Linked DNA regions of Oryzias latipes. The protein of the gene in region 2 purifies or fractionates together with the protein of the main gene of each other region. This does not show direct contact. Links are inferred from orthologs where the notes say so. Each region holds a gene or a part of one and is shown on either strand. Other genes may lie near its edges. The genes, in order: cdc37, pdik1l and hsp90ab1.

Region 1 (7,474 bases), on a different chromosome or scaffold from region 2:
TTTAGGGCGTGTGTACCCCAACCCTAATCTTATTTTTTTAAACAGAAATATATATAATGTGCTGTCTCAAACACCAACCGTTTACCTTAAGCCACAAATTAAAGTGTTTTCAACGAAACTGCATAAACATTTTTTACGGACGTATCCGGATACTTTAGCAAAGCGAGTCATAAAAATAAAAGAAAGTAACTCACCATTTAACGTTGCGTTTTGAAAAGCGACAATTGTAAAAACAGAAGGCAGCGCTGTGAACTGAAAGCTAAATGTCAGAGGGCATAATTCCCCTCTAACACCCACTCCCTTGACGGATTCTCGTGAAGTAAAAACCCGAACGACGGGAATCGCCAGCTGACGTCGACGCTCTCTGACTCAACACGCATGCGCATTTCACTCCATAGAAACTGTTTCGTCCTTTTCAAAATAAAATAAATTGGTTTAATTTATTTATTCAAAATAAATTGGTGTCAAATCGGTGTTTTATTCTTTTGTGGGATGAAATATGGATGTGGGAATAAGTATGGCTGTTAAAGGCGTGATATTTTGCTTTATTTTGATAGTATGAAGTGTTTCATTTCTATTACTTTCCCATATTGGACTGCAAGGTGGTTCCGAGCATCACAGCGAGAAAGCCCTGGTTCAAATCCCAGCTGGGAATGTGCTATGTAGAATTTCCATGTTCTCCATGTGCATGCATGAGTTTTCTCTGGGCACTTCAGATTTTCACTTTCACGGTCCAAAATCATGATTTATAGGTATATTGATAACTTTGCTTAATTGTTCCTACATGTGAGGCTCTGCAATGGACGCAACCGGCTAGGCATGTACCCCACCTTCACCCAAGAAAAGCTGGGATAGGCTCCAGCATCCTTGTGCTCCCAAAAGTAGATTCAGCAAGTTCGTAAGATGGATGCGGACATTTAGAATTCTAAAATCTTGGCTTAAACCTATTCAGTGTTAAGATCTGCCTAAAAAGTTGAAAAAAACTACATACAAAGATCTGGCAGCTAGAGCTGCCACATAAACTAAAAAAATTGTACCCTTAGACTCAACATCGAGGAGAGAAAAAAAACATTAATAACAAACTGTTGCAAAAAAAACTAGTTACTGATGTAATTGGATGATTACTAAATGTGAAACAAAATACAGCATTAAAAAAAGTGTAAACAGAACAAAAACATCCAGTATTGCCTAAATGGAAATTTAATGTGCTCGTTTATATCAATCCATTTAATCTAGATTACCTAATATGCATGTAAATGGTAAATGTGGTTTAACCCTGGCACCATGTTTGGATCAAATCTGACTCAATGTTTAGTATGAATGTGGTTTCTAAAATGACTCATTTTTGCATCATCATCCTGTCAAATAAGAAAGTGCTTTTATTTTGTAGCGTTACTTTTAAAATGTGAGCAATGTCTGTCAATATTTAATGTCAAATATGAAAAAGAATATTCTTCTTGACAATAATCATGATTGAACTGCATTTTTGAGGAAGATATGGTTTTTCTTTTTGAAAAAACACACAATTCCCCTTTTCCACTGGCTCTAGTACAGATAATTCGATTTTCAACATCTCATGTGATACCAGAAAATAATAAAAAGAAGCTAAAGACACCTACAAAGGAAAAAATATGTTCTTTTGGTTGTCTATTTATAATCTAATACCATAACTATGCATTGTTATAAAGTGAAAGGCTCCTGGGACAGAAGCTATATTCTTGCAGCATGGGACCAGAAAAAACAGTCATCATTCATTTTTAACATATTTAGATTATTCATTCTTTCAGGCACACATTTTCAAATATTCATAGTTCTATCCTTACATTAAAAAACTACAATGGTTCAGTTTTCAAGTTTTTTTTTTTATTTTTCTATGAGAAAAATTGCAGTATTGAAAGCAGTTTTCCCTCAGTTCTTCACTTAAAAATGTAAGCCATGACATGCAAATGTCAAAGTACTCCTGCCTTGGAAGAATAAGCACAGTAAGTTTACATCATCTCACAAAGGCGACTAGTTGGTCTTTTCCATCTTTAGATTACCACTGAGTAAGAAGCCAAAGCTAAATCTTTGGGTTCATTTAGGATAAACAGAACCGAACATGATCAACTGTCGTTGGCCTGGAGTTGACAGCAGTAACCCTTACTATTTTTCTTAGAAACCTCATTTACCAGCTGTTCTATAAAGCTCATCAATCAAGCAGTTTGAATGATTATTTGAGCACAAGTCAATGTTTTTGTTGTCCTGAATAATGTAAAAGACCCGGAGGAAAGAAAAAAAAAAAATCAAAACATTGGAACTTAACGGTGAATGTTGTACAAATGTCACATAAAATATCTGTTGCAAAAAAATGTGACAATGTTAGACTTAAGCTTGCAACTATGCACCAATACCAACAAAGCATAACAAATGAAGGAAAAACATTCAGCTCAGGCGATGCAGAAACACAGTTTGTTTTTGTTGTTTCAAATATGTGACTTATTACACATTTATAATTCAAATTTGTACTCAAAAAGTTTAAAGAAATGATGGTGTTTATTGGCAAGCTGTTTTACATTAAATGAGACTGGGGTACAGTAAGTGAATACAATTGCAAACAACAAATCCATTGTGATCACTCCTTTGTTTCTTCCGGCTCCCGTTTCACCTCTTCATAGGTCCCTTCTTCCTCCTTTCCTTCCCCAGAGTTGGGGACCCACAGACCTGAGTCAATGCAACGCTTCATATGATGTTTTGCCTCCTAAAAGACACGACAGTCACATGTTAACAGGGATTTCTTAAAAAAAAAAAAAGCACCTAAATCCAAAAAGATTCAACCAGACAAAACTGTATAGCTTACAGTTGGATCCATTTTACTGATGACTTCTTGTAACATTTGGATGTCCTTCTCATCAAAGCATTTCTGCATTTCCTGTGGTTGAAGGCAAACTATGTGAGCATTTCAAACTCAATAGAGACAAAAAATGAAACCCTGCTTGTTAGAATGCACTTACAGCAGGCAGCGACTCATACACTTCAACTGGATCCAGGCCTCCAGGCCCCAACCGCTTCTGCCGCTCCTCTTCCTCGTATTCTTTCAGGGCCTTTTCTATGCGAATCTTTGCTCTTCCTCTCACCCGTTCTTTAAACGCCTCAAGCTCGTCGTTAAAAGCATCTTGGTATTGCTGATCTGCGGTCTGTAAGAAAACAAATGAACAAATGTGAACATTCCAAACCAGAAGTATAAAATTTTACAGAAACTTCTGGTAAAAAAAAAAGGACTTTTAAAATAATCTGTTTTAGTCCAGGAATAACAGACAGACTGCCTTTGATTTTTGTACTGCTTGTTTATGAAAGCACCCTTTCTTTTCCTGCCCAAACATCTTCTTTAAAATGAATAAGTTCAGAGCAATTAAACACAATAAAATTAAATAAACTTGCTTACTTTAATCTTTGCAAAAAACTGACGGAAGCAACCGCGGGGATCCACTTTGAGGCTTTTTGCCAACTCAAGAATGAACTGCATGACAATGGTCTGATGGGCCACCTGCTCCATCAGTGCGTGTTTCTGCAAATAGGAAAGCAAAGCTTTACTAAGAAATGAAAAACCTAAACAGCTGCAAACAGGAGCACACACTTTGAGGAGAAGATATGCTAAAAAACAAAGATACAAGAATATAAAATAAAAATATAAGTATATGTGTTTACCTCCTCAACTTCCAGATCAATGCACATGATGACGAGATAGTTAGCGGTTTCTTCACATACAAGATGAGGATTGTCAGAGAGATACTTTTGGCTGTCGTCCCATCGTCGCAACATCCCTGTAAGTTAATAAAAATAGACTTAAATTGTTTTTAAAGAAGGGAAAAGACAACAGAATGACCTTATGGAAGTTACTCAGGCTTACCGAAATGTTTAATCTGCTTCTCGTGTTTTTCAACAAATGTTTTGTGTTTTTTCTCCTTTTCTTCTTCCGTATCTTCCGAAGTTTCAGGTTTTATGTTCACTATGCTCTATAAGCGAGAACAAAGATCAAGATTTGACACCATCTAGCATTGATTTGAAATAACTACTTTGTTTATAAAATGTCAACGGACTAATGTGAGCTTCATTGGATTTTCCAACCTCTTGCTAGAAAACCACAGGTTTCTATCTGCATATAGAAGTCACCTTGCTGAACCCTTCCTTGCTGAGTGTGTCCACGTTCCACGGCATCTTCTTCTCCTCCCTGTAGTACTCATCCAGCTTTTTCTCCCAGTCCCGCTCCTCTTTTTTCAGCTTCTTCTCATCGGCTTGGTATTTGGTGAGCTCTGTTTTGACACCATCGGAAAGGTTCAGGTCCTGGATCTTTGTCTGTAACTCCGTGAGTTTACGCCGACATTCGGCGAGTCCTTTTTTTAGGTCTTCGCCTTTCTTCTGGAATTCTTCCATTCGCTCCACGCGCGCCTAAGGAACAGATCACACGCGTGAACATCATGTGTAAACAATTTCAAATACTCATCAGCTCTTGTCCAGTTTGAGTTCAAATTCAGGAATCCGAAGTAAGTAGGAAAATTAGCATGGCTGAAGAATTACAAGCAGAAAGTGAAAGCTAACGATCACGCTAAGCACTTTTCCGAAAAGCTTTTATATTTACCTGGTGTCTCCATCTGAAGAGACTGGGAGTGTCAATATTTGGGTGGGTATCATCTTCATCATCCGATACCTCAATGTGATCCCACACGCTGTAATCTATCCTGGACATCCTGCAGCAAGAAGAAGCAGCGCTAGCTTCGACTAGAACTCGGTTAAGTTGGCGTCTAAATCACGCTCGCTAAAATACCGACCTAAGAAATATTCACACTCGAACCCTTCAGAAATGTGTGTTGGTGCTCTGTGTTTCTGTACTCCAAATTTGGTCGTGCGAATTGATTTGTTACTCCCAAGCAAGAGCTAACGGGAAGCTGCTACAGAGTTCTAGAAGAAATTCTCCCCAAAGCTTCCGTTTACGTCATACGTAAGGCGCGTACATTGTACGTCGTAATTTAGACACCGGAAACAATGACCAAAAACGGAAAATATTTGGTTTTCATAGTTTTAATCTGAAAGACTGTGATGCTTTCTTTTGTATAAACATGTTGTTATTTATGGCTAAATTTGATATTCATAAAAGCAAATTCTCCTATAAAAAACTGATTTATTTGTGTTAAAACTGGAACTGCAGCAATATTTAAACTTAATTTCAGCTTCAAAAAACACAAAAGCTCAAAAAACAATTAACATTTGTAAATCTTTTGGAATAATAACACAAGTTTACTCTCGCATTTTCTCTTTTTATTTTATCATTTTTTTTCTATGTTTAGTTCTATTTTCTTTATTTATTTTAATTTTTTATTCCCTTTTGTGATTGTTAGAAATAATTAGAATCTTCTTAAGCATGTAACACGTTTATTCTGTATTCAGAATTGTAATGTACATTATCTGTGCATAATTGTTGCATTTCTTTGTTCTGTATGTTGCAATTGTTCAATAAAAATTAAAGAAAAGGGAAATTATATTTAAATATAAAAAAGAAAGAAAAGCACCATGACCCGAATGATTACATTTTTCAAGGCGAATTAAGAATAAATTAGAATGCTGATCTGAACACATATTAGAAGATTATTATTTTTACATATAAGATTTAGAAAATGTACCTACGTAATATGGTAAACTAAGAGTATGATATTCATTTGCTTACTGCTATTTTTCGTTCTTGATATAAATGGCCAGATATGATTTTTATATAGTTATGTTTCAGATATAGATGTGTGCTCCAGACTGATAGATGATAATTTAGTTTGTCCGTTCCCAAGAAGGAAAAGTTCAAGTTCTAAGAAAGGAAAACAAGATCAGTTTGTGAATGTTTTCCTTTTTTCTTCATCGCCGGTGTTGCGATCATAACCTGTGACAACACGTTTGAATAAAATAGCTAGAAAATGTTCAATCTAACAGAGAAAAGAAGATGAACTAGACAATTTTATATACTTTTTATTTCCATTGAATGCAAGTCATCAGCAGGTGGTGTCAGCTATTTTTGCTCGGTTTGAAGTTTGTCAGTTTGGAGTCTTTGAAACCTGAGCAGCAGACGGAGTTTCCAGTTTGCGCTGCACAGCACCGCTGCATCTCTCGGATCACATCCTCGCATTTACTTTCCACATACTTGTTAGCTGTGAGATGAGAACAAAAAGTTCACAAATTTGTTTGAGATTTGCATTAGAAGAGCACAACAACAACGTCAATGTGTACCTTGTAAACACGTTTGAATGGCACATGCTTGCTTTTGACACGGATCTTTCTGTGGCATATCTAAAGGAAAACATGTGAGAATGAAAACAATGATATGAATAAAACATGGGCAGAATCTTAAACTTTACTTATTGGATAAAGATTGGGGGCATGGTTTTAAAGTTAGACATACCAGTAATATTTGATACGCAGATCGACCTACTACTGCTGGGAACCCAACCACTTCCGTTTTCAAGGGATTGTTTTGATCACGTGTCATGCTGTTAGCCAATTACATTTAGACATCTGCTCAACAGCGACATCGTGTGGGCAATGAAATACATGCATTTAGGCTTTTGTTGGTATTTTAACAATTTTTAAAAATCAATCTGGTCATACCAGATATTTGAACTTTATACTTTATTTTGAAAAAAACGCAGAAGTGCAAATAAAATGTCCATACTTTTTTGATGTTTTGCTTTTATTGATAAAGATAAGAAAATTAACAAACAGTTCATATGTACAATGGCAACCACTGAAATATTGTCATTGAGTCTTTTTTTATTTGCAATGATTATATTTTGTTAGTCAAGAAAACATATAGTCAAGACATAAACCAGATCAAGAAAATCACATACAGTTGGACACAAACAAACAAAAGATAATTACAATTCTAAAAAATGTATCTAACACATTAAAAAATGAAATTTCCAAAGACCTTTTTTTAATGTGGTCTTGTCTGTGAAATCTAACTTTACATAAATATCCACCGAATCATAAATGTTGCATCATTTCCGTGTTGAAAACAACAGTAAAATCTGCTAAGAGCAATGCTCTCTGCATGCCGGATGTAGTCTTCTGACCCTGAAGCAAGGTAGCTTGTCTTAGATACCTGAGCAAAAAAAAAAAACAAAAAAAAAAGTGGACATCAGAACTTTGTGTGAAAATGTGTGACTCATTTCAAAATTTCAAATAATAAATGTCTTTTTACCTTTGGTTTTTGCTTTGACAAGGAACTGCTTGCTTTTCTGATCCAGTAGATTGGAGGCTGTGCAGGTGTAGGTCCCTGGGAGAAGTGAAGAAGAAGTAACAACAGCTTCATCCATCATCTTCTCCTGCATGGGATGCAAGGATTGCCACGTGTAAACAGGTGCAGGGTTTCCTGTGGCTGTGCAGTTTAGGGTGATTTCGTTACCCATAGTTAAGTTCAAAACTTCTGTTTCAGGGCTCAGGATTGTTGGAGGAACTA
Region 2 (6,312 bases):
ATTGCTCCTGCCTGAGTTTCCTTTGAAGGCATCTACCGTCCATAACCTCACTGCCTTCTTCTAAGCTTTTAAAAAGAGGAAAAGCTCCTCCTCTTTTTATCAGAAAATCAACTGCCGACTAGAAAGCTAAAACTGAGAACAGTAACTGTGACTAACAGTATTCTGTCCCCTTTGCCTTCAAATTTAAAATGGTTTTTTTCAAGTAGTTTTTTAATAACCACGGCTGTAGTTTGGGTTTGTTTGTTTGTTTTAGGGACCAAATATATTTGAACATTCTGAATAAATTCTCATTCACCCAAATTTCATCCCGCATTTGGTGAGAGTTGGTCATTCTTTTACCTACTACTAAGGCATTTGAAAAATAAACATGAAGGGGTGACTGAAACCAAGATCCTGGTCTCGTCTTCATCGTTTCCTGCTGCCAGTCATAGTAAACAGGAAATTGTGACTGTTCCTTTAGATCCCACCAGGACCGTGGAACTTGCAGTTGAACGAACAACGGATCAGACTGATACATTTGTGCCCGATCACTCCATTGATTTAATCATATTCAGACAGAATAATCCTGCATAATCGCGTGGTGGTTAGCATTCTCGCCTCACAGCAAAAAGGTCCTGGTTCTTCTTCTGGCATGTTCTCCAGAAACTCCGGCTTACTCGCACAATCCAAAAACATGCTTCATGGGTGGCTCTATCTTGCCCCTCAGCGCCCATGTAAGTGTGGCCATGCAAAGTGTTGAGGGTGTACCCCACATTCACATAACAGTAGCTGGGTTGGCTACTTTGCTTTCAAACTGATTTATAAAATAAGGATAAATCTTTACCTAAAAGATTGTATTCTGTTTCAGAGATTTGACTCGTCTTTTCAAAGGCTGTCAGAACTTTAAAAAAAAAAAAAACCTAAAGAGAGCTGGTGTTCCAGGAGCTGAACCCACAACTTACATTCATAGGTAAGCGAGCTGTGATCATCTCATCTGTGGAAACATCCATCCATCGGGGGGGAGGAAGCAGCAGAGGACTGAAACCGAGGAGCCACAGGTCTGCAGGTAGACAACACCTGAGGCTGAGGACGAAGCAGCACACACTCAAGTTTCACTTCTTTATTAGAAATCCATCAACTCAGCGGGAACCGACAGGTGTGGAAGGGGGAGGAGCAGAGCTTCAGGTGTTTTTAATCCTTCTTTTTGTTTTGGAACTGATACAGCATACAAAACGTTGGCATGGTTTCAAAGCAAAATTATTTATTGCAAAATACAGATTTTAGAGGAAAAAAAGTGCTGATCACCACACCTGTGAGTACGGCATGACAGAGGAGCCGGATTCATAAAGTCAACCCAAAATAAGATGAAAAAAATCAATCAAGGAAATAAAATCTGAAAGAATCTTTCTTTCCAATCTTCAGACCCCCCCCCCCCCCCCCCCGATTACATCGGATTACCTGGGTGAAGCGTTTTCACTTGGAACACACCTGATCCAGGTAACCAGCAGGGAAACAACTACCTTTTGATTTATTTGAGGTAATACTTTTTTATGTTTATTTTCCCCCCCCATGCACTTCTAAACTGCTCCTGATAACAGAACAGATTTTGACACCAAACCTGTCAGGGGGGGGCTTCTTAAAAGGAACATATGTGGGGAGGGTCGGTTTACAAATCAGACTGCAACTGAAGCAAATTCCAGTAAAAATTCAATAGAACCAAAATAAATCAGAGATTCAGTCAATTCCTTCTTTCTAAATAATCATTTTTGGTCCTTCTGTCACTCCATGACTCAAAAATCAGAACAAGCAAACATCACTTTAGAGCCCCCCCCCCCCCCCCCCCGCCAATTCTGAACCTGTTCCTTACATGAACAAAAAGTGCAACAACAGCAAACCAGAGCGCCGAAGACTTCTCCCTCCTTTTCTGAAGGACACGCAGAAGACATCTGACCCCCCCCCCCCCCCCCCCCCCCCCCAGCTCCCCCCTCCCACGCAGACGTGGTCAGAGGCTGGACTTTCCTGAAGAACTTCACATGTTTTTGTTGAAGGAAAATGCTGAATCAGTTGAAAAGTAAAGCAAACTGAGCCTTTTTCAGTGTCAAACAATGAGACTCTAAAAACAGAGCCGGTCATATGCAACCCCCCACCCCCACCCCCCACCCCACCCCCACCCACCTCTTTACAGTATCTACACATGTGCAAACAAACAATACAAGAAATCTGAGGGTGTCATCTTCAGAAACACAGCTGGAAACAGAAAGTTTCTGCCTAAAAGAGCCAGAGGAGGGAATGTGATGAGACACAATTCCATCCTCATCCTCTGCACTAAGGGCTTACAAACGACCCAATCCAAGTCCCAACTTTGCTGCTTCAAGGCTCGACTTTCCCCTCCTCCCGGCGCTCCATCACGTCTGTGCGATCATGGAAAAGTCCCAACAAAAAGGGTTCTGGTAGCACGTGTGAGAACTGAAACCTATGTGGCTCAGGGCCAGGTGGTCAGTTATCCTTCATGGAGGTTTTCATAGCCTGAGGATCCACAATGGACAGAAGCTTGCACGCAAGAAAACTAACTAAATTCCCCGCCCTGTCAGGTCAATCACCCGCCATTTCTGTCAAAAATTCCCTTCATTCAGGCTCCCATGTTTTCAGCAGCAGCAGAGGACTGAACCTGTGCGGTCCGGCTCGGAAGACCTGGCAAAAGAAATGTGAATCTTCTATCTCAGAGGGAGACCACAGTGAAAACTGACCTTCCCCCATTGTCCCCAAGTTGAAAAAATAAAGCTGTGAGCGGCTGTGACCTTCAACAGAACACTGAAATTCTTTAATTCTGCTATCAGGTGGAGTCATGTTCCGGTTTCTCTAAACTCTCTGTGAACCAGAACCCTCTGAGGTGTTATAAGCAGCTCTGCCCTGTTTAAAAACTAGAGGTGACAGAGTTAGGAGCAGCAACCAATCCACGCCTCACAGAGGCACTGGCGAGCACAGAATGACTGCACTGGAGAGAAGGAAGGTGGGAGGAGCAAACCGGACGGGCGATCAAAAGAACCTTTGTCCGGTCAGAGCAGCTGCATGGTTTCCTGAGCGTTCAGGGCTCCTTCTAGGCCTCAGGTCTGCCTGAAGACCGGACACAGCCCACCGGGGGGGGGGGGGGGGGGTCAAGGGTGTGTCGCCGATGCAGACGGATGATCACAGGAGCACGTCTCATAAAAACGTATTGCATTTAGAAACGTTTAGCACCGAAGTCAAAATGCAGCTGCTTTTGGATCAGCTGGAAGGGGGTGGAGTCACTGGAGAGCCCCTCCCCCTTCCAGGCACAAGAAGTTCAAACCCCTTAAAACTGATGCCTGCACTAGTTATTCTGCAAAAATACACACAACTTTATGATCTAGAGGGGGAGAAGAAGCTCATGAGCTGGGAGGGCGGTCCCCGCCTCACATGTCCCAGTCCAGCTCCCTGCAGGCGATCCGGATCAGTCTGAGCTCCAGCTCCACGGCGTCGGGCCGCTCCTGCGGGTTGGCTGAAAGCATCTCCCGCAGAAGCTGCTTCATGCGGCTGTTCATGCTCTTCTTTCGGGCAGGAATAGGCAGCTCCATCTTGGGGTTCTCCAGGAGGGCCTCCCCCAAGGGGACGATCTCTGAGCCCTGCTGCACATAGCTGCCCAGCAGCTCCTTCTGAGTCTCCACATCTACAAAGGTGATCCGCTCTACCATGGCCCAGATGATCACTCCTAGGGCGAAGATGTCCGCCTTGGCCGTGTAGTGGCCCTCCCAGACCTCGGGGGCCATGTAGAAGTCCGTCCCACAGGCCGTGGACAGGAAGCATTTGTTGACGCTGGCCGGCTCTTCTGGGTTGAGCCCGGAGGCGGAGCAGACTTTGCTCAGCCCGAAGTCGGCCACTTTGAGGGTGGGCTCGGGCGACCCGGCGGGGGTGCAGGCCTGCGAGATGAGGATGTTGTCTGGTTTGAGGTCACGGTGGATGATCTGGTTGCGATGCAGGAAGGCTAAGGCGCTGCCCAGCTGCAGCATGAAGCTGGTGTTGGTTTTGCGGCTGGGCTTGCGGGACAGCAGGTAGGCGTTCATGTCACCCCCGTCACAGAAGTCCATGACAAACCAGAGGTAGGAGGCACAGCAGGGGTCAAAGGTGATCTCTCCCTTCAGAGACGTCTCCACCAGCTGCAGCACAAACAGAGGACGACACACGTTAAGAGTCGGATGCCGTTCTAGTTTCTATGGAAACACTGCACAGAGGTCACAGAGTCTGAATAAACACTGACCCTTATAAGTTCCAATCAGACCAGAGACTGGGAATGTTTCTGAACTGTGACAGAGGTTAGAAACAGAAATACCTATGGATTCCACTGCTTTCATTTGGATTTATCAACATTCCCCTTAAAAACCAGGTTAGACACGCTTTTTGGGTGAAACATTTATCACTAAATGATAAAACTTCACACTGAAAACCAAGATAAAAACCTCTTTTTGCCTGAAAAAGATTTTTAAGTAAAAATCTTTAACTGTCTCTCGGATTGTTTTCTGCATGAGATGCAAAGAGAAAGACATCCAATCACATGCTGGCTTCTGTCAACTCAGCTCAGTCAGGCAAACGCGCCGTGCCCAACGCTTAAACTGCACTGCAGGATCTATGGACCTTAAGTGATAAAAGAGGAAACACGGACTCCGGTTTTAAAGCACAGAGTGACGGAAAGACACTACTACTACTACGGTTCAGTCAATTGCTCTGAATAAATAAACAAAACTTTTTATGTTTAGCAGTAAAATGTTCTTTACATTTTATTAAATGTTTTACAAAGCATCAGAAATGTTTCAGAAGGGTTTTTGACGAGCAGGGATCTGTGACGGCCATTCTTCTGCCGCGCGTTAAAACATCGCTCACTGAAAAGCTGACCCAGACTTCGCAAAATGTCTGCCTTACCACTGCATCATTCATCAGCAGACGTCATGTGCAAAAGTGATGGGCTTTGGGCACGGGATGACTCCCATTGTGAAAATCATAAACAACATTTTCTCTGTGGATTTACTCAGTGGCTCAGTCTTAAAGCAATCAAGGCACCCTTCATTAATCAGCTTTGGTATGCAAAGCTTGCATCAGGCACATGAAACAAACCTGACTTTTCACATAAAAAGTCGACACAGTGATGAAACAGAGGGGGGGAAAATAGAAACAGGTAAAAGTTCTACTTCTGCTAGCTGCTACTCCTAAGAGTGCACTAGAGGATAACTCCACCCATTCAAATGCAACAACCAAAGGACATTTCACAGAGTAAAAGTACAGTATTTAGAAAAGATTTTGCCTGTGAGCTCAACATTTGACTCCACAAACAAACTGGTACATCTTCAAAAAAAAAAAAAAAACAGCCTCTTTTAGACCCCAAAATCTCCACAATGCCTAATAAACAAAAATTCACTTTGCATAACGACGTGGCTTCAGAGCAGGAGAAAGCTCCAGACGGACAAAGGGTTCAAAACTCAAAAGAGCGCCCGTCATTGTTCCTGGGAGAGCCCCGACGTGGCACAAGAACATTCTGGGAGAATGTCCAACACTGGCAAAGCAGGGTCTGAATGAACAAAAACAAAAGTCCTCTATCAGGCCTGGGAGTGCAGCAGGGAGGCCCGCCACTACCACCTGTGGAACATTCATGGACCTGCGGGCCAACAACAACTAGGATACCGCTACAAACCCCTACCCTTTTTCATCTGATCCTCTTTTTAAATCAGACAGATCCACAAACGATGCCATCTCCACTGTTATATCCAGGTGAGATCTACAGAAACTGAGTCCATGGGACTGTCTTGGATTCAGATTCTTGCTAGCCTTAAAAAAAACACCTATTCCTGAAAACACTCAGGGTTGTTGCACCCTCACCTCCAGGTAGAGTGGGGAGCTGGAGCCATGGCTCATCCTCTGGGCCAGCTGGTCCCGCTGCAGGATGCACTCCTCCAGGTGGATGACGTTTGGGTGCTGGCTCTGGATGCTGCTCAGGGCCCAGAACTCCCGCAAGGCCAGCTCCACATTTTCTGGAGAGTGGCAGCGGATCTTCTTCACCGCCACCCGGGCCCTGGTGCGCTTCACCACCGCCTCATAGACCACGCCGTAACTGCCACGCCCCACCTCCTGGATCAGCTCGTACTTCGGCTGGCTGCTTACCATCCTAGTCTTCGCTGTGGGAAGAAAAAAAACAACAACAACGTTAGTCTCGCATGGTTTGACTGGTCGATTCTGCAAGACTCGCCCGGTAGCTGATGTACTTTCCACATGAGATCAAGGGACTTGACATACGTCAAGAGCCAGATGTGCGACTGACATCAAACACCT
Region 3 (7,327 bases), on a different chromosome or scaffold from region 2:
TAATTCTTTGCTACTTTTATGATTTTGGGAAGGCAGCTTTTCTTGATCTGCACCAGTCATGCAGATTGGCAGCTCAAAATGCTTTACATGGATACTGTTTTGATGGCTGCATCAAAACAATGAAATAAATTCAATAAATACCCTATTATGCACAGGAATGCATCTGTGTATTTTATACTTTTAAGTATGTAGGATTCTCTTAATTTCAAAACAAAAACAGACAACTTTAGACAGTTAACATTGTTGTGAACATACACTTGTGAAGTTCAAGTTAGCAGATGAATCATGAATTTTAAGCATAAAACGTAATTGTTAAAGTTTTCTCTGTTTAATTTATTCAATATATTTTTAAAAATCTAAGGTAACCTTTGGAGTCGTCACAGCGAGAACCTCTGTTCAGTCCAGCTTCTTGAAAACGTTTTGGATAAATATCCCCAATTCCAGGCAAAGCACATTATTCCAAATAAAACCCTATAAAATGATTTGCTAAAAATGCAACCTTTGGTTTTTGAAGCAATCCTGAAAATTTTTGGACTTAAAAAAAGTTGCAAATTTAGGGTTCCCCAGATTCATATTAAAGTAGAATCCTCAGTTTCTTATGAACAACATTTGGTTGTTGGTTCTTTGTTGATTTTTAGCCTTCTGCCAGCAGATGGCACTGTCCTCTACAGTAAAGGATGTTTGCATCCTTTTAAACCTTAGATTTCCCTAATACTGCAGAAATGCAAAGACGACTTGAAGTAAAGATTCTAACAATTCTTGCCAAATTTAATGACTACAAAAGTAAACACTGACAGTTTTATGCAGCATTTTTAAACTCCAGTCGAATGGTTGCATATGAAAGGGCTCCACCTTGTGGCCAATCAGAAGTATTGAGTGCAAAAACAGACATTAGGGACAATATTCTTTATTTTTGCAAAAACAAAACTGAACACAGACAAACCTGACCTCAGGCAAAGGAATCTTACAGTCCTCTCTCCATGCAGCGCTGCACATGAAGAGAACCCCCCCCAAACATTTGGAATGGAATGCATCATTCCCCAACTTGCACATCAACCGAACAAGTAAACCACAGTGCAACAGGGGAGTTTAAAATGAGTCGTCACCATGAACATTGCAAGCAGAAACAAACCTACTTTCAAACAAGGTTTTTCAGTGTGAGGATCTCTTACCGAGAGCGTCACAACAGGAATGCCTACTTGATTTTTTAGTTACAGAATTTATAATAGATGGATTTCTGGGAAAGTGAGGCTTAAAAGTGTGAAGTTTGGGGAAGTTTAGTCGACCTCTTCCATGCGTGACGAATCGTCGTCAGCATCTCCTTCCAGGGGTGGCATCTCTTCTGGGGCAGATGTGGAGGCGGGCTCCTCTGTGGGGATGTCGTCATCGTCGATACCTGGAGACAAGACCTCCAATTATTGACATGAACCTTTTAAAACAAAGATATTTATAGTCTGGAGTGTTTTCGTACCCAAACCAAGTTTGATCATTCTGTAGATGCGGTTGGAGTGGGTCTGAGGGTCGTCCAGGGAGAAGCCAGAGGACAGCAGAGCAGTTTCGAACAGCAGGATGACGAGGTCCTTCACAGCTTTGTCGTTTTTGTCGGTCTCAGCCTTCTGCCGGAGGGTCTCCATGATGGGATGGTCGGGGTTGATCTCTAAATGCTTCTTGGCCATCATGTAACCCATGGTGGAGTTATCCCTGAGAGCCTGGGCCTTCATGATCCTCTCCATGTTTGCCGTCCAGCCGTAAGTGCTCGTCACAATGCAGCAGGGGGACGATACCAGTCTGTTGGAGACAGTCACCTGTAGAAGGCATGAAGGTAAGCATCGGTTTGAGAAAACCGACCACTGGAATGCAATACACGCATGCGGTTCAGGCCGTTTGTGTGATGCTGATTTCATCGAGTGTTAGACACAGCCTCAAAAGACAAACATTGTTAGAACTCACGTCGCTGTCAGACTTATCAGGCTCTTGCAAAACCAAACCCTTTCAACTCAAATATCAGGCAACGCTAGAAACTCTACAGGCCACTTCTACTCTGTATGAACTCACCAATATAAGTAGTTACCACTAGGAAACCTGTTTCCAAACAAAACACCACTGAAGTTAAGGAAATGATGGTGAAGAAATGAGGAGCAAAAGCACAGTTTCTTATTTGAGACCAACCTTCTCTACTTTCTTGTCCAGAATCTCTTTCATGAGCTTGCAGAGGTTCTCAAACTTGGCCTTGTCATCCTCCATCTTCTTCTTTTCCTCCTCATCCTCTGGCAGCTCCAAGCCCTCTTTGGTGACAGAAACCAGGTTCTTGCCATCAAACTCCTTCAGCTGCTGAACACAGTACTCGTCGATGGGCTCGGTCATGTACAGGACCTCGAAGCCACGCTTGCGGACGCGCTCCACGAAAGCAGAGTTGGCAACCTGGTCCTTGCTTTCACCTTCAGAGGCAAAAAACAAAAACTTAAGTCGTGCCAAAAGAATCAACAAAAGAACATATGGACTGGAAGCCAAACCTACCAGTGATGTAGTAAATGGATTTCTGGTTCTCCTTCATGCGAGAAAGGTACTCTGTGAGGGAAGTCATTTCATCTCCAGACTGGGAGCTGTGGTAGCGCAGCAGCTCAGACAGCTTCTTACGGTTCTGAGAATCCTCATGGATGCCGAGCTGTGAACATAAAAGTTGTGATCGATTTACTCAACTAAATTCTGGGTAATGCAGCAAGCGTTGCCCAATTCCAAGGCTTCACGCTAAATATGTGTCGATTTATTTTCACACCTTAAAAGTTTACAGGAAAAAAAAAATCCATCAGTTTATAGGCATCATTTAGAAAAGCTTCAGATATGTTTGAGATACCTTGATGTTCTTTGAGAAACCTTCATAGAATTTCTTGTAGTTTTCTTTGTCTTCTGCCAGCTCTCCGAACAGCTCCAGGCACTTCTTGACAATGTTTTTGCGGATTACTTTCAAGATCTTGCTCTGCTGCAGCATTTCTCTTGAAATGTTGAGGGGCAGGTCTTCAGAGTCCACCACTCCACGGATGAAGTCTGTTGTAAACAAACAAAAACGTTTTAAAGCTGCTGTGCATTTCCTTTCAGATCCGGTGGAACAGAGATTTAAAACTTACTCAGGTACTCTGGGATGAGCTCTTCACAGTTGTCCATGATGAAGACTCTCCTGACGTACAGCTTGATGTTGTTCTTCTTCTTCTTGTTCTCAAAGAGGTCAAAAGGTGCACGACGAGGAACAAAGAGCAGAGCCCTGAATTCCAGCTGACCTTCCACTGAAAAGTGCTAAAAGAGAAACACACGTCAGCACGAGGTTCCATCAGCCGATCAGAAGACACCCAAACCTCTATTTTACCTTCACAGCGAGGTGATCCTCCCAGTCGTTTGTGAGGCTCTTGTAGAACTCGCCGTACTCCTCACTCGTGATGTCATCAGGGTTTCTGGTCCAGATGGGCTTGGTCTTATTCAGCTCTTCCTGGTCAATGTACTTCTCCTTGATCTTCTTCTTCTTCTTGCCCTTGTCTTTAGCGTCTTCTTCATCATCTGAGCCCACATCCTCAATCTTTGGCTTGTCCTCACCTTCCTCCTTGGTCTCCTTCTCTTCTTTTTCCTCCTCTGCCTCATCATCACTGATCTCCTTGTCACGTTCTTTCTCCACCTATAGATAAACCACGTACAACTCCACATAAGCTTCTATTAGTGAGAAATATGTTTGTAAAAAAACAAACAAATCACTTACAAAGAGGGTGATGGGGTAGCCGATGAACTGAGAATGCTTCTTCACGATCTCTTTGACCCTCTTCTCCTCAATGTACTCCGTTTGGTCTTCTTTAAGGTGCAGGATGATCTTTGTTCCACGGCCAATGGGCTCGCCTGAGAACAGTGTTGTAGAGGTTAACAAATGTTTCACAGTCAGATTTTAGTTTGTTGCACCATAATTATAATATTTGAAGATCCATACCACTGTCGACCTTGACGGTAAAGGATCCCCCAGCAGAGGACTCCCAGGCGTACTGTTCATCGTCGTTGTGCTTGGTGATAACCACCACCCTCTCAGCGACGAGGTAGGCAGAGTAAAATCCCACACCGAACTGACCAATCATGGAGATGTCGGCTCCAGCCTGAAGAAAACGGCAAAGTTCCACAATTTGTATTCACTTCTGCTAAAAAAATATATAAATGTGTATATGTATTTTTCCCCTTTATGCCTGTTTATATTAATACCTGAAGGGCTTCCATGAAAGCCTTTGTCCCAGACTTTGCAATGGTACCCAGGTTGTTGATAAGGTCAGCCTTGGTCATGCCAATTCCAGTGTCAACAATGGTCAAGGTGCGGTCAGCCTTGTTGGGGATGATGTCGATTTTCAGATCCTTGCCGCTGTCCAGCTTGGAGGGATCAGTTAAGCTTTCATAGCGGATTTTGTCCAGAGCCTAAAAATAATTCAGCGTCAAGATATTTCACTGTATTGACACAGAGGTGATACGATGTTACGTAAACTGCTGCAGACTTACATCAGAGGCATTGGAGATCAGCTCCCTGAGGAAGATCTCTTTGTTGGAATAAAAGGTGTTGATGATCAGGGACATCAGCTGAGCAATCTCTGCCTGGAAGGCAAAGGTCTCAGCCTCCTCCTCTTGGTGCATTTCTTCAGGCATCTGCATAAGAAATAACAGGTTTGCAACAAACAGCGTCAGACTAATAATGGGATGAACCAACAGGAAACGCCAAAATAAAAGCACAACATCTTACAAATACGCAAAATACGGTAATAAACTGCCAATTATTTTACTAAGATTGTAGTTTTTAGTTTAATTTTTTTTAATGAATAATTTTAAACCATAAACTACCACAATTCAGAAACCGGTTCAGAGTCGGATCCCTGCCATCAGATTACAACATACGGGCGGAAGTGCAGCGAAACATGGCGGCGAGGCATGGACAATGGACGCTGCAAGCACGTGCCGACTAAAACCGAAAAAACCCGAAGCTTCCGTGAATATCAAGATCGAACGATTTTGGATTATCGCTCAGGAGCTTTACTGCAAAAAAATAGCCCCCAAAACTACCATCACCCCGAAAAACCACGAGCACTCCTGTGTCGGTTATGCAAGATGTACATGATGTACACACTCTGGGTGTAAGATTCTAAACTAGTAGTCCATCTAGAATCCTTCGTTGGCAAAATATACACAAAGACACGTCAATCGCTCGTTAAACTATGGTAATGTTATTCTTTAAACAGTCAGGTACAACCAACCTTCACAATAATAAATCTCCATACCTTCTGTCTGCCTACAAGATGCGGCAAAAGCCCACCACTTATTTTCGGTCACTAGTACAAGATTTAACCTAAAGCCCATTACTAATTAAGAATAGTAAACCCGCTATGTCAGAAATGCTTTTAATCGATGAATCAAGGTTAAACAAACCACGTGAATCGAAATCAAATAACAAAAAAACCCGTTAAATGACTCAACATTCGGTGTAGAATAATAATAAACCATTTAAAGTTTGGTTTCCCTCAATATGAAGTGAATTACCAAGACATACCTTGTTTCTTATGTTGGCTTTTCTTGAATAAAATGCAACAAAAGTGCTATCCCTGCCGCTCACTGACGCAGGAAAAAGAAAGGAGGATTCTGGAGCTGCACGCCGAATCTATATGCTCATGAGTTTCAGTGCAGGACAAGATCCCTCCGCGGCGCTCCTTCTCGAACTAACTGTGCTCCTCCAGAAAAATATGTAATTATTTATATCAACAGATAAAAAGTTATAGTGGAATAGCATGCACAATATTTTGATTGGCCAAGGAGGTAAAATCTAAACGTTATAAATTTATTATATTAAAAACAAAACTAAGAATAAAATCAATCGTATTTGATTTTTGCTGCCATCTAGCGGTTATTTAAGATACAGCAAAAACTACATCTACGAGCTTCCGTTTAGTAATTGTCTAAATTCTAAAAATGTGTCAAAATTTTGTTGAAAAAAAAAAGTATTTGTATAGAATCTCTATATCTGGATGTCAAAAATTAAAAGCACGCTGTATTTTTTACGGAATCAACGAACACTCTAGGTCTTTGTAATCACATGGAAGAATACCGAAGGGGAGTGCTTCGTTTCTTCTAGCACTTTCCATGAAAAACCCGCCTAAACATGACGTCACCGAGTTGTCACATGCTGACTTCGCATTCTATTGGTTGCCACAGAAATTACAACTGCCGCTCTGTACCTCATTTTGATCAATGACACCTTTATTTCTTTTTTTACTGTAAATAAATCAATATGACTGGTCAAAACTTTTTAAAAGGCTTGTTTTTTTACATTTATGAAAAATAAATATGCCAAATATTTTTTTAATAAAAACTTTTTTTAGTTATTGATTTATTTTACATATTTTAACATTGAAATCAAAATGACGGCACTTCCAATTGAACGTGGTTAAACAAAATGTAAATAAAACTATGTCAAATATCTAATTTTGTCATTGTTAATAGGCTTACGTTAAATAACACAAACATTTATGCAGAACAAATTGAAATTTCATTAGCATGTAGTAAAATTATAAAATGTAGAAAAATAGAAATTTTGGAATGATTAGTATCATTTTCCTATAAAAAAAGCTAATTTAAAATATTAACTACATGATCATTTACCATGCAAATAAATCAGATTCAGAGAGCCTTTGTAGTAAAAGACACATTTTTCACAACATAAACACTGGTGTACTGAGCAGAACTTTAGCCCCGTCCACGGGCAATGTCCCGACGCACAAAAGAAGTGCGGTTGTCCTTTGGTAAATAGTGCGCATGCGTGAGTGTTGATAACGCTCTCAGCTAGCTCGTGGGCTAGTTTAGTGCCATTAGAGACGTAAACGATTTTTCCCTTCAAAGATATTACCAATTTTACTGTTGGTTTTTACTAATTTTCACACGACCTAATTAAGGGTAAGAACATTGTAATGTATTAAATTTAGTCTATACTAATTATTTCAAAAAACAAAGTTAGCTTTGTTTGTTAGGTCACGTCAGCTATTGCAAACGTTAGCCTAACTGACTCTGTTTAGTGTCACCGGCTAGTGTAGCGTGTTCAATGTTAGCTTTAGCACGCCAAGCTGCTTGTTTTTGGTAACCGCGTTTTTATCTAAATTATTGACATATGAAAGTTTAAACATTATTTCACCAATATAGATGGTTTAGATAAACTTTATGCACTTAAGTTTAAATGAATCTATGCTCCAGTCCCTACCTTACCATCAATTTAATCATGTCTTCTCATCTACTAGCAAATAAGCTAATTTTGACATAAGTTTTAAGCCCT

What was found.
Region 1: the proteins of pdik1l (region 2) and cdc37 purify together in Homo sapiens (affinity purification with mass spectrometry; 3 studies listed by BioGRID and IntAct, counting the BioPlex papers as one, with this or other methods). This does not show direct contact. The link is inferred for Oryzias latipes from reciprocal best matches to the Homo sapiens genes PDIK1L and CDC37.
Region 3: the proteins of pdik1l (region 2) and hsp90ab1 purify together in Homo sapiens (affinity purification with mass spectrometry; 3 studies listed by BioGRID and IntAct, counting the BioPlex papers as one, with this or other methods). This does not show direct contact. The link is inferred for Oryzias latipes from reciprocal best matches to the Homo sapiens genes PDIK1L and HSP90AB1.

Annotation. Positions count from the first base shown.
Region 1 is NC_019866.2:8,380,902-8,388,375, forward strand, and holds cdc37 (hsp90 co-chaperone Cdc37), read right to left. Parts: upstream 4,965-7,474; 5' UTR 4,806-4,964; intron 4,725-4,805; 5' UTR 4,724-4,724; coding exon 4,616-4,723; intron 4,426-4,615; coding exon 4,150-4,425; intron 3,993-4,149; coding exon 3,887-3,992; intron 3,801-3,886; coding exon 3,685-3,800; intron 3,545-3,684; coding exon 3,422-3,544; intron 3,174-3,421; coding exon 2,991-3,173; intron 2,909-2,990; coding exon 2,837-2,908; intron 2,738-2,836; coding exon 2,612-2,737; 3' UTR 1,845-2,611; downstream 1-1,844. Other genes in the region: cmc4 (cx9C motif-containing protein 4), read right to left, coding at 6,025-6,167, 6,247-6,304; hemicentin-1, read right to left, coding at 7,110-7,117, 7,217-7,471. UniProt on the Homo sapiens protein: Co-chaperone that binds to numerous kinases and promotes their interaction with the Hsp90 complex, resulting in stabilization and promotion of their activity. Inhibits HSP90AA1 ATPase activity.
Region 2 is NC_019869.2:17,961,414-17,967,725, reverse strand, and holds the end of pdik1l (serine/threonine-protein kinase PDIK1L), read right to left. Parts: exon of another isoform or gene 6,246-6,312; intron 6,159-6,245; 5' UTR 6,148-6,158; coding exon 5,863-6,147; intron 4,152-5,862; coding exon 3,411-4,151; 3' UTR 2,774-3,410; downstream 1-2,773.
Region 3 is NC_019882.2:5,880,686-5,888,012, reverse strand, and holds hsp90ab1 (heat shock protein HSP 90-beta), read right to left. Parts: upstream 4,669-7,327; coding exon 4,519-4,668; intron 4,438-4,518; coding exon 4,231-4,437; intron 4,128-4,230; coding exon 3,968-4,127; intron 3,880-3,967; coding exon 3,746-3,879; intron 3,665-3,745; coding exon 3,362-3,664; intron 3,292-3,361; coding exon 3,126-3,291; intron 3,046-3,125; coding exon 2,855-3,045; intron 2,666-2,854; coding exon 2,518-2,665; intron 2,439-2,517; coding exon 2,170-2,438; intron 2,083-2,169; exon of another isoform or gene 2,056-2,082; intron 1,806-2,055; coding exon 1,472-1,805; intron 1,397-1,471; coding exon 1,278-1,396; 3' UTR 892-1,277; downstream 1-891. UniProt on the Homo sapiens protein: Molecular chaperone that promotes the maturation, structural maintenance and proper regulation of specific target proteins involved for instance in cell cycle control and signal transduction. Undergoes a functional cycle linked to its ATPase activity.